Linked DNA regions of Macaca fascicularis. The protein of the gene in region 3 purifies or fractionates together with the protein of the main gene of each other region. This does not show direct contact. Links are inferred from orthologs where the notes say so. Each region holds a gene or a part of one and is shown on either strand. Other genes may lie near its edges.

Region 1 (3,751 bases), on a different chromosome or scaffold from region 3:
GATTTATGAAAGCCAGACGTATAACAATGCAAGTCAGGCTGTCACAATTTGTTCATGTTTTCTCTTCCTTTATTAACTCAGGTAGTTCCTGAGCATCTACCATATTAAAGGAATTATACTAGATGATTAAAGGGTGCAAACAGGAATATAACACAGTCCCTGACTTTTCTCACTCTACAAAATCAGTAGAAGTGGATTAATATGTAACTATTCCTCTGATATAAGGAGTCCATCTCATGGTTGTTCTCTAGTGACAATGCCTCGGGGATCCCACCTTCATCACCTTTGCACCCAACTGTCCATCACTCCTGTGCAGGGGATGCTGTTAGGGAAGAAAACAGGTCAAATGCAGGGAAAACTCATAGTAAGCTGTCACTACTATATTCACTAAAGTATAGTAACCTACTTTACTCACTAAAGTACAGTAACCTACTGTACTCACCAAAGTTTAAAACAAAACAGGACATTTGACAAGGCTGGTGCCTTTAAACAACTTTGCTAAAATGTCAAGGCACTCTTTTCAATTATTAAATAAGAGGAGTAATAGACATTTGTGGCCCACTCCATCTATGAGCCTCATTCCTGATGATGGGGTAGAGTGAGGTTCAGTGAGAAGGTGAAGTGAGGTTCAGGGAGGGGTGAAGCTTAGGGGCTTAAGTGAAGCTCTTTGCATCCATTTCTTAGTAATAAAAATGCTGAGTAATTTACTACTTTTTTTAGGCTGCAACAAAATGCTCCCGTGGAAAATGTCTACGGTAAAATGTCAAGTGTGTAGTTTTAAAGCAGAGGACAATGCTTAGTGCACAGTATTTTTGGCAGTATGACCCCACCATTCTCCAAGTTGCCCAGGCTTAAAACCCTGGCCCTAGGAAACACATTGCCTATGATGTGTTCCCTACAGTTTCACTTTACAGATTAAAAAAAGGGAACCTCCTCCTTAGTGTAATATTCATATATTCTTTCAATGATTTATTCATTTATCCATCAATATCACCTTTCATGAGACAGTGGTAAGCAACAGAGATATAAAATGAATAAAATAGTCCTGCCCTTAACAGTTTGGTTTAGCAAGCATTTATTGAATGTACACCATATACAGTATTAATAACTGCAAAGTGCTAACATATAGATATGTACCTAGATTTTAGGGAAAGCTTTCAAGAATGATGCCAGAGTTGAGTCTTAAGGAATAGCAGGAGTTTGCTTGATGAAGAGAAGGGAGGGGAAGGGCATATCCAGGTCTGAGAAAAATGCCCAGAGTATGTGGGGGAGGCAGGAGCTGAAAAAGTAGGCAGGAACCAGATCATAACAGGCCTGTATGACAAACTAAGGAGTTTGGACTTTATTCTGGAAAGAATGGGGAACTGGAAGATTTTAAGAGGACTGACATGAACAGATGTTTTGCTGTTGTTAGTCTCACCCAAGGATGGACTGGAGATTGGACTGGAAGGAAGCCAGAGCTGAATGCAGACAAACTAGTTAGGAGGCTGTTGCTGTAATCTCAATGAGAAATGATGAGAAGAACGTAATCTATGTCACACGCATCGAGGATGGAGAGCAGAGGACCTATTTAAGAAATATTCTATAAACAGAAATGATAGGACATGACTATTGATTGGACACGTGTGGGTGGAAAGCCAGAGTCTAAGATTCTTCCCAGCTTCCTGTCTAGCTTAGGCAATTATTTGGACAGTGGTACTACTGAGCACGCACGCACACAGTAGAAGCAGCATATTGACTTTTTTCTTTACGGGAGGCAGGGGTAGATGATGAGCTCAATTTTAAATGCTGAATCTGAGACCCGTGGGGAATCCAAGGGGAGAGGTCCATGAGTCAGTTAGCTAACTAGACCTGTGCTTTTTAGCCTCAAGAAATGTACAAGACTATTCTAGAAGCGTGTGTACTGACAACCTCACTGCCAAAGGAACAGGCATATCAATTAGAGAAAGACATTTTTTCATGTTAAAAAAAAAAATTGAAAACACAGGGGTTGAGAGTTAATAACAAAACATTATGTTACTCGCCAAACTGCCACAGCAGAACAATGTATTTCTCTAGCAAGCTAAATGTAGGGTTTGGTGGGTTTCCTCCTGATGACACTTGAAAATAGAGGTGTACCTGGTGTTTAGATCTAGGAATTCCTTTCAGCAGGTTTGAAGAGAAAGAGCTGAGAAATGCGCCCTCCAGTGGCAGTGGAATGAGGGGTGTCTAGTAACCCTTTTTACCACCAAACAAAGCCCTGTAAATAAATGCAATTTACCGGGATCAGAAAGCCACAACGCTGGTACTAGTAAACCGTCAAACCAAGCGAACCCTCCCAGGGGCCAGGAACCCTTACCTGTCACGTCGGCCGAAGGAAAAATTTCACTTTCGACTCAACAAAATAAGACCTCAGATTTGATAGCTTGCAGTAAGTCCCGCTTGGCAACAATTAAACACCCTGCAAGTCGAAACGCGTAGTCTAATCAAATCCTCTCCAGCCTGCAGGGCCGGGCTTCGACCACGTGGGTGGCTGCGGCCAGCAGGATCAATCCGCGAAGGGCGGGAGGAGGCGTGCCCCTGCGGCGGGAGGCGGGGCCTGCGCAGTGGGTGGGGCTTCGGTGGAACCTAGCTACGAGGTTCCTTTCGCCTCCGCTCCCCTTTTGCCTTCAACCTTCGGGCCGCCACGTAATGCCACGTCCCCGCGCATGCGCATCTTGGCCGCTGGTGGCGGCTGTTTCCGGGCTTAGGGGGCTGGAGTGGCCGCCGAGTTGGAGGCGGTGGTGGCAGCAGTAGGAGAGTGTAGAGTGCGGGACTGGGGGCCAGGCCCTGCGGAGGGCGGGGGAAGTTGTCTTCGTTTTTTTTTCCGGAGGGGCCGGTAAACCTGGTGGCTGAACGGCAAGATGAATTTCCTCCGCGGGGTAATGGGGGGTCAGAGTGCCGGACCCCAGCACACAGAAGCCGAGACGGTGAGAGGAGCAGCGGGTCTGGGACTTGGGAAGGGGTCCGGGCAGGGACGGGGACGGAGCACTCGGAGACCCGAAGGTCACCTCCAGCGTCCCACCATGGAGGGGGATCCACATGCCACCTCCCCCTTTGCCCTCCTTCCGCTCCTGAAATCCCAGAGTTATTCACTGACGCCCCCAGCTCCCTCCCCGTTGCTGCGGCTCGGCCGGACTGACGGCAGCCGCGCCCCACAGCTCTGTAGGCCCCGAAGCTCGGGCTAGGAGAGTGGTCCGCAGGTGGTACCGTCCGGGAAGGGACGGTTCCGGGGCCGAGCTGGCCCGAACTGCCTCCCACGCCCCTCGGGGCCGTGGGCCCCTCCCTCCCTCCCTCCTTCCCTTTCGCCTGTGTCTGCACTGGCCGAGAGGAGCCTGAAGTCCTGCTCCCTCCCTTGCAGTCTGAAACTGGGGCGTTGGGGAAGACTGCGAGAAGGTTTAAAACCCAGCTGTTGGTGAGAGCATGTGGCTAAGAATAAAACGATATTCTTTGAAGCACAAGTCCACCTGCTCCTGTCCCATCAACTGGAAGAGCGGTCGTTCTGCCTGGTGTTATTTGTTCAGATCTCGCTTTTCGGGCTCACCCAAATATATATCGTTTGGCAAATGCTACCTTGGACGTAGTAGGGATCTTTCGCGCTCAAACCCCTTTGGGGACACATCCACCGCTTTCTGCCTGAACTCGTAATGACACGATTTGCAGCGTTATTTAAAAAAAAAAAAAAAAGTTAGCCACTGAAAACAGTATTTAATAGTTGCTTAGATTCTAGGTT
Region 2 (3,651 bases), on a different chromosome or scaffold from region 3:
CCTTTCAAATACTGTAATTAAGTAACAAAATGTCAAGACCAAACTAGGCAGTACTTTTTTTTTTTTTTTTTTTTAAGACCTCAAATCACACAGATACAGACACTTTATTAGTTTCCTCTACAAGAGCCAATAACATCAATCTTTTTTTTTTTTTTGAGACAGAGTTTCACTCATATTGCCCAGGCTGGAGTGCAGTGGCGCAATCTCGGCTCACTGCAACCTCTGCCTCCTGGGTTCAAGCAATTCTCCTGTCTCAGCCTTCTGAGTAGCTGGGATTACAGGTGTGCACCAACACGCCTGGCTAATTTAGTATTTTTAGTAGAGATGGGGTTTCACCATGTTGGTCAGGCTGGTCTTGAAGTCCTGACCTCAGGTGATCTGCCCACCTTGGTTTCCCAAAGTGCTGGGATTACAGGCATGAGCCATCGCACCTGGCCTATGTCAATCTGTTTTTTTTTTTTTTTTTTTTTTTTGAGGCGGAGTCTTGCTCTGTCACCCAGGTTGGAGTGCAGTGACTGGTCTTGGCTCACTGCCAGCTCTGCCTCCCAGGTTCATGCCATTCTCCTGCCTCAACCTCTTGAGTAGCTGGGACTACAGGCGCCCGCCACCTGGCTAATCGCTTATATTTTTAGTAGAGATGGGGTTTCACTGTGTTAGCCAGGATGGTGTCGATCTCTTGATCTCGTGATCCGCCTGCCTCAGCCTCCCAAAGTGCTGGGATTACAGGCATAAGCCACCACGCCTGGCCTTTTTTTTTTTTTTTTTTTTTTAAAACAGAAATCTCTGTTCATTTGAAATGCCAAGTAGATCCAAAGAAGGAAGATGGCAATTAAATACTTAAATTAATCAAAAGGCACTATGAGACCACCTAAAACCTACTGCCACAGTGGTAGTAGGCTAAGGAAGATCAAGCTACAGCAAATCATGTAATGTGAATGTTAGCGATTACATAGCAGGAAGCACATTTGCTTTCCAGAGGACTATGGTGCCGTGTTCCTTTGGGCGCAAGCGGATATTTGGCCAGGAAAGGATCAAGATGGATGAAAGTAAAGCCAAATCAAAGGAATAGGTACAAAAGAGAATCCAAGCTACGTAGTCAAGCAGATGATGATGAATCAGGCTTCTTCCTCCCAAGAAACATTTGCTGCACTGTGCTGCTTCCCCCCTCCACTACCCCCACCCCCCACCCCATGGCTGCTCAAGTCCAACTGCCTGTTCCTGCCTTACAGGGTGCTCAGCCACTGGGACTAGGTTTGGGGTTGCCCAGGGCTCTTGCCATAATTTAGCATAGACCTTGGGGAGAACTGCTCACACATGGGTTGGCTTTGTTGCTAGTTGTTCTCAACAAAGAAAACCCTGAAGCATTCACATGCAAGGTAGTCTGAGCTTCTCCAATCACAGTCAGACACCCCCACTATCCTCAAAAGTCTGAAATCTTGTAACAGCTGAGCTCTTGTTAAAGCTGCAAGACTCACAAAATCATCAAGGAAGCCAGAATGAGACAGTGCAGGTAGGAAGTCCCAGCAGTTAATCTCAACCCGTCTTTCTCCATTTCGGATAAGCTCAGATATACCTGATGTGGGATATTGAAAGCTACACTGGAGTAAGCTGGGTCTTCTGAATTTGTCATCAAATACCAAGGGAAAACAAGGGGTGGGGTGGATTTTATTCTTAAAAAACCTCAGAAGTAACTGTGTTATAAAGGGACATGACTGAATAGGTAAGAAATGGATTCTTCATTGTGAGTTTTCCTGATGGCTTCTGCAAGGATCACAGAGATGTCGATCACCTGTATTTTGGAGCGGTGCTTCATCTTGTCGTCCTGGGGTATGGTATTGGTGACTACTACTGCTTTAAAGCATGCGTTGTTGATGTGAGAAATAGCTGGACCACAGAAGATACTTGGAGTCAAGATAGCATAAACTCTGGTGACTCCAGCTAAGAGAAGTTTGTCAGCTGCATGGCAGATTGTGCCACAAGTGTCAACCATGTCATCCACAAGGATGGCCACCAGATCCTTCACATCTCCCACAAGCACCATGCGATCCACTTAATTGGCCTTCTTTGTGAATCAAGGCAAAGTCCACATTCAGCCTGTCTTCTATGGAGTTCACTCTCTTAGCTCCACCAGCATCAGATGAGACAATAGTGCAGTTCTTCCACTCAGAGATATTCTCCCTTATCCACTTCAGGACACCTAGGTCTGCATATAAGTAGTTCACTGGGATGTCAAAAAAAACCCCTGAATTTGAGAAGCATGTAGGTCCATGGTGATAATATGATCTGCACCTGCTACAGATATCATATTTGCAACAAGCTTGGCTGAGATTGTCACCCGAGTCTTGTCTTTCTTATCCTGCTGGGCATAAGGGAAGCATGGGATGACTGCAGTAAGCTGGCTGGCTGAAACAATCTTGCAGGTATTAATCATGATTAAAGGTGCCATTAAATTATTGTTGATTTCACCACAGCCACTCCGAATGATGTAGACATTCTCTCCACGTACACTTTCGCCAATTTCCATACAGGTCTCCTAGTTGCTGAATTTCTTAGTCACTACCTTGCTGAGCTCCAGGCCCAGGCAGTCAGCAGTTTTCTGAGATAAGTCCTGGTGGGAGCTGCTGCTGAAGATTTTGATATTCAGGATCCTGGCCAACTATCCTAAGCACTCTTCACTAAGTGATCACTGCTGCTGCAGAGACTGGAATCAAAGTCGGTCCAGAGACTCAATGCTAACAGCTTTGTGATGCTACCCCACCATCTTCAAGATAGGCAGTACTTTGAACTTTAACTGTTTTCAACTAAATACACACACACACACATGACTTTATATTGGGAAGTGCTCCAGCATCATAATGAAGTCAGAAAACTAGATTCTGATCCTGTATCAGTGCATCTTAATTTAGATAAGTTATTTATCTAGTCTGAGCTTTTGTTTCCTTAAGTTGCAAAAGAATAATCTCTTTCAGAATTATTGCAACATCTATAGTAAACTGTAAACATACTATCAGTAAATTGTAGATACTGATAGTAATATCTTTATTATTAAATCAGAAAACACAAAATTTTGATTCATAGTACCTATTGAATGCTTTTTCTTCCAGAAATTTCTAACTATGTAGCTATACAGTTTCTATAGCTGTGTAGTTGACTCAGGCCAAAATTGCTCTGTTTGCCTAAACTTATTAAATTGTTGGGGATAATTATAGAGTGGGTTCTATAATCATGATGCATTTAGTAGTAATAGGATTTGGTATTTGAATGATTATTTTCTTACGGATGTAGGGTAATTGTTTTTTAAGTGCTAAATACTTACAGTGTCTTTCTAAATTGCAGTTTGTTCATATCAACAACTTAAAACTCATCTGCAGAGCACATCAACTAGTGCACGAAGGCTATAAATTTATGTTTGATGAGAAGCTGGTGACAGTATGGTCTGCTCCTAATTACTGCTATCGTTGTGGAAATATTGCTTCGATCATGGTCTTCAAAGATGTAAATACAAGAGAACCAAAGTTATTCCGGGCAGTTCCAGATTCAGAACGTGTTATTCCTCCCAGAACGACAACGCCGTATTTCCTTTGAGGCCTTCGCCCATCCTGCTGACCCATTTTTCTGCCCTCTTCTTACCCCAATTTTCTTGTATTACCT
Region 3 (3,489 bases):
AGAGGACTGATGAGCGTCTATGGGAGGGTTTAGGGATGAGAAGGTCATCCCTGCTCTCATTCAACTTACCTGTTGTCTCCTTAGCTGCCCCTGGCCAGAAGGTGGTGGAGAACAGCAGTGGGACACCCAACATCTTAATGTAAGTGCCCCAAGCCTTGGGGTGGAGGGAGGTGAGGGGACAGTGAATGGGCAGGAAGTCGGGAAGATAAAACCTAAGGGCAGGAGGAGTAGAGATGAAGAGAAGTGGGGCGGGGGACAGGATGAGATGAGGAAGCGGAGAGAAAGCAAACCTCTTAATAACCAAAACCGGTTCTGAGTTGCCTTCCCCCACTTTCTAAGCAGGCGGCACTTCACAATTGATGACTTTGAGATTGGGCGTCCTCTGGGCAAAGGCAAGTTTGGAAACGTGTACTTGGCTCGGGAGAAGAAAAGCCATTTCATCGTGGCGCTCAAGGTCCTCTTCAAGTCCCAGATAGAGAAGGAGGGCGTGGAGCATCAGCTGCGCAGAGAGATCGAAATCCAGGCCCACCTGCAGTATGGGTTGATGCCCCCTGAGCCGAAGCCCCTCTGCTCCCTCACCCCAGCTCCTCACTCAGCCCTACCTCATCCAGATTGCGTTCTCTGTAGCTACGGCTAGTGAGCCCCATTTAGCCCTTAGTCCTGGCCAGAGCCTTGAATCCAGAAATCTGCCTCCAGTTTCCCCTTCCCACTCCCATTCCTGGTGTCCCCAGCCTGGGCCCCGTCTGACCCCAGTTTGCTCCTATTATCTTTCCCAGCTCTTTTATGCCTTTGGCCTGAGGCTTCCTCTGTCTCTTCCCTCAGCCATCCCAACATCCTGCGTCTTTACAACTATTTTTACGACCGGAGGAGGATCTACTTGATTCTAGAGTATGCGCCCCGCGGGGAGCTCTACAAGGAGCTGCAGAAGAGCCGCACATTTGACGAGCAGCGAACAGCCACGGTCCGGGCGGGTGGGCACCTGGGCCGCCAGTAGGGGGCTGGAGGCTGAGGGTGTGCTGCTTGTAGCTGGAGGTCCATCCTTGTCTGATTGCCTGTCGTTGCCCCTCCCAGATCATGGAGGAGTTGGCAGATGCTCTGATGTACTGCCACGGGAAGAAGGTGATTCACAGAGACATAAAGCCAGAGAATCTGCTCTTAGGGCTCAAGGGAGAGCTGAAGATTGCTGACTTTGGCTGGTCTGTGCATGCGCCCTCCCTGAGGTATGGTGGCCTGGGAGGCCAGCCCTGGGTGTGAGGCGGGGCCATTAAAACCTCTCCAGGGGCTGGGCGTGCTGGCTCACGCCTGTAATACCCGCACTTTGGGAGGCTGAGGCGGGCGGATCACCTGAGGTCAGGAGTTCGAAACTAGCTTTGCCAACATGCTGAAACCTTGTCTCTACTAAATATACAAAAATTAGCCGGGCATGGTGGCGGACACCAGTAATCCCAGCTACTCGGGAGGCTGAGGCGGGAGAATTGTTTGAACCTGGGAGGCGGAGGTTGCAGTGAGCCAAGATTGCGCCATTGCACTCCAGCCTGGACGGCAGAGTGAGACTCCTCTAAAAAAAAACAAACAAAATGGTTAGAATGTGGTGCTAAGAACCCCAAGGTCATGGGTTTGATCCCCGTATGAGCCAATGGTAAAACTTTAGCCAGGTGCGGTGGCTCACGCCTGCTAATCCCAGCACTTTGGGAGGCCAAGGCAGGTGGATCACTTGAGGCCAGGAGTTCAAGGCTAGCGGACTAGCCTGGCCAACATGGCGAAACCCCATCGTTACTAAAAATACAAAATGTATTAAGCAGACATGGAGGTGCACACTTGCAATCCCAGCTGTGCGGGAGGCTGAGACACGAGAATCACTTGAATCCGGGAGGCAAAGGTTGCAGTGAGCCAAGATCGCCCCCTTGCACTCCAGCCTGGACTCTGTCTCAAAAAAGCCCGGAGCAGTGGCCTTTTTTCCTCCCACATCATTTTTTAACGGTTTCATAGTATCACATAGTAGCTGATTTATTTAAGCAGAACATGCCTGATGGGCATTAGAGATGTCCCCAGTGAACTCCAAAATGAACTCCAAATGAACACTGCCCTCATAGCGGAGTATCTCATTAAGACATATCCTTCAGCGTGGAGTTGCTGGGGCTGTGTGCAGGCTTACCTCTGGGGCTTTCAGATATGTCATCACCCCAACCCCACCCCCACTCCAGTAACCCTGCCTGGCTGGACCTCTCCCCTGGTACCTCCCGTGGTCTTTTGGCTCCCTGCCATCAGGTAGCAGGGAAAGGAGAGTTCCTATGTCACTGGGACCCCTGCCCACGCCCCTTATCCCTCCCAGGAGGAAGACAATGTGTGGCACCCTGGACTACCTGCCCCCAGAGATGATTGAGGGGCGCACACACAACGAGAAGGTGGATCTGTGGTGCATTGGAGTGCTTTGCTATGAGTTGCTGGTGGGAAACCCACCATTTGAGAGCGCATCACACAACGAGACCTATCGGCGCATCGTCAAGGTGGGAGGGCGGCCTGGGCTTCGTGCCAGCTGCAGAGGCCAGGGGCTGGGGGGCTGGGGGTGGGCAGAGTGTATCCGCGTGGCCCTAAGTAACTCCAGACAGAATGGGTAGTCAAGGAAGATGTAGCCAGGGTGAAAGTAATGCAGCCCTTCCATCTCTTCACACCTGCAGGTGGACCTAAAGTTCCCCGCTTCTGTGCCCACGGGAGCCCAGGACCTCATCTCTAAACTGCTCAGGCATAACCCCTCGGAACGGCTGCCCCTGGCCCAGGTCTCAGCCCACCCCTGGGTCCGGGCCAACTCTCGGAGGGTGCTGCCTCCCTCTGCCCTTCAATCTGTTGCCTGATGGTCCCTGTCATTCACTGGGGTGTGTCTGTGTTTTGTATGTTTGTGTATGTATAGGGGAAAGAAGGGATCCTGAACTGTTCCCTTATCTGTCTTCTACCTCCTCCTTTGTTTAATAAAGGCTGAAGCTTTTTGTACTGATGAGTGTAGATGTTTCTAGGTGGAGGCTTTGCTGTGGAGGAAGCTGTTCCCTAGAAGGAGAGGTGGCTCACCCTGAGGAGCTGGGATGAGCATTGCTTTGCTATCCCTGGTAACACCCTACCCTCTCAGCTCTGACACCCACCTGGTCAGCTCCCAGCCACCCCCACCCCTACCCCCACTTTCACCTCTACCCTGTCTGTTCTTTCCATTGTTCTGACTCCCAGAGCCCGGGGGCACTGGGGGCCCTGGCTCCCCATTGCTACATTGGAACACCAGCCATCTCTGGCCACCTTCTTTCACCTCTCTCTTGGTTGTCCAACTTCTAGTTTTTCCTTTTCTGTTTCATTCTCTGCCCCTTTGCCAGCGTAGGAGCAGCTGAACAATTCTGTACCCTAGAAACTGTCTTTGATTCTTTTACTGCTCTGGTCAGGATCTAGTACAGGAGCCAATAGAAGCAGTAGTGATTCTGTCTTGTTCCTGACACAAGGTTTCACTGT

Evidence for each region.
Region 1: the proteins of AURKB (region 3) and G3BP2 purify together in Homo sapiens (affinity purification with mass spectrometry; 3 studies listed by BioGRID and IntAct, with this or other methods). This does not show direct contact. The link is inferred for Macaca fascicularis from reciprocal best matches to the Homo sapiens genes AURKB and G3BP2.
Region 2: the proteins of AURKB (region 3) and PPP6C purify together in Homo sapiens (affinity purification with mass spectrometry, with the first as the bait; 3 studies listed by BioGRID). This does not show direct contact. The link is inferred for Macaca fascicularis from reciprocal best matches to the Homo sapiens genes AURKB and PPP6C.

Annotation. Positions count from the first base shown.
Region 1 is NC_088379.1:58,151,808-58,155,558, reverse strand, and holds the start of G3BP2 (ras GTPase-activating protein-binding protein 2), read right to left. Parts: upstream 2,468-3,751; 5' UTR 2,339-2,467; intron 1-2,338. Other genes in the region: USO1 (general vesicular transport factor p115), read left to right, coding at 2,883-2,948.
Region 2 is NC_088389.1:18,908,391-18,912,041, forward strand, and holds part of PPP6C (serine/threonine-protein phosphatase 6 catalytic subunit), read left to right. Parts: intron 1-905; exon of another isoform or gene 906-2,446; intron 2,447-3,336; coding exon 3,337-3,585; 3' UTR 3,586-3,651.
Region 3 is NC_088390.1:8,284,852-8,288,340, reverse strand, and holds the end of AURKB (aurora kinase B), read left to right. Parts: intron 1-84; coding exon 85-139; intron 140-339; coding exon 340-534; intron 535-822; coding exon 823-961; coding exon of another isoform or gene 962-971; intron 972-1,071; coding exon 1,072-1,220; intron 1,221-2,332; coding exon 2,333-2,507; intron 2,508-2,678; coding exon 2,679-2,852; 3' UTR 2,853-2,988; downstream 2,989-3,489. UniProt on the Homo sapiens protein: Serine/threonine-protein kinase component of the chromosomal passenger complex (CPC), a complex that acts as a key regulator of mitosis.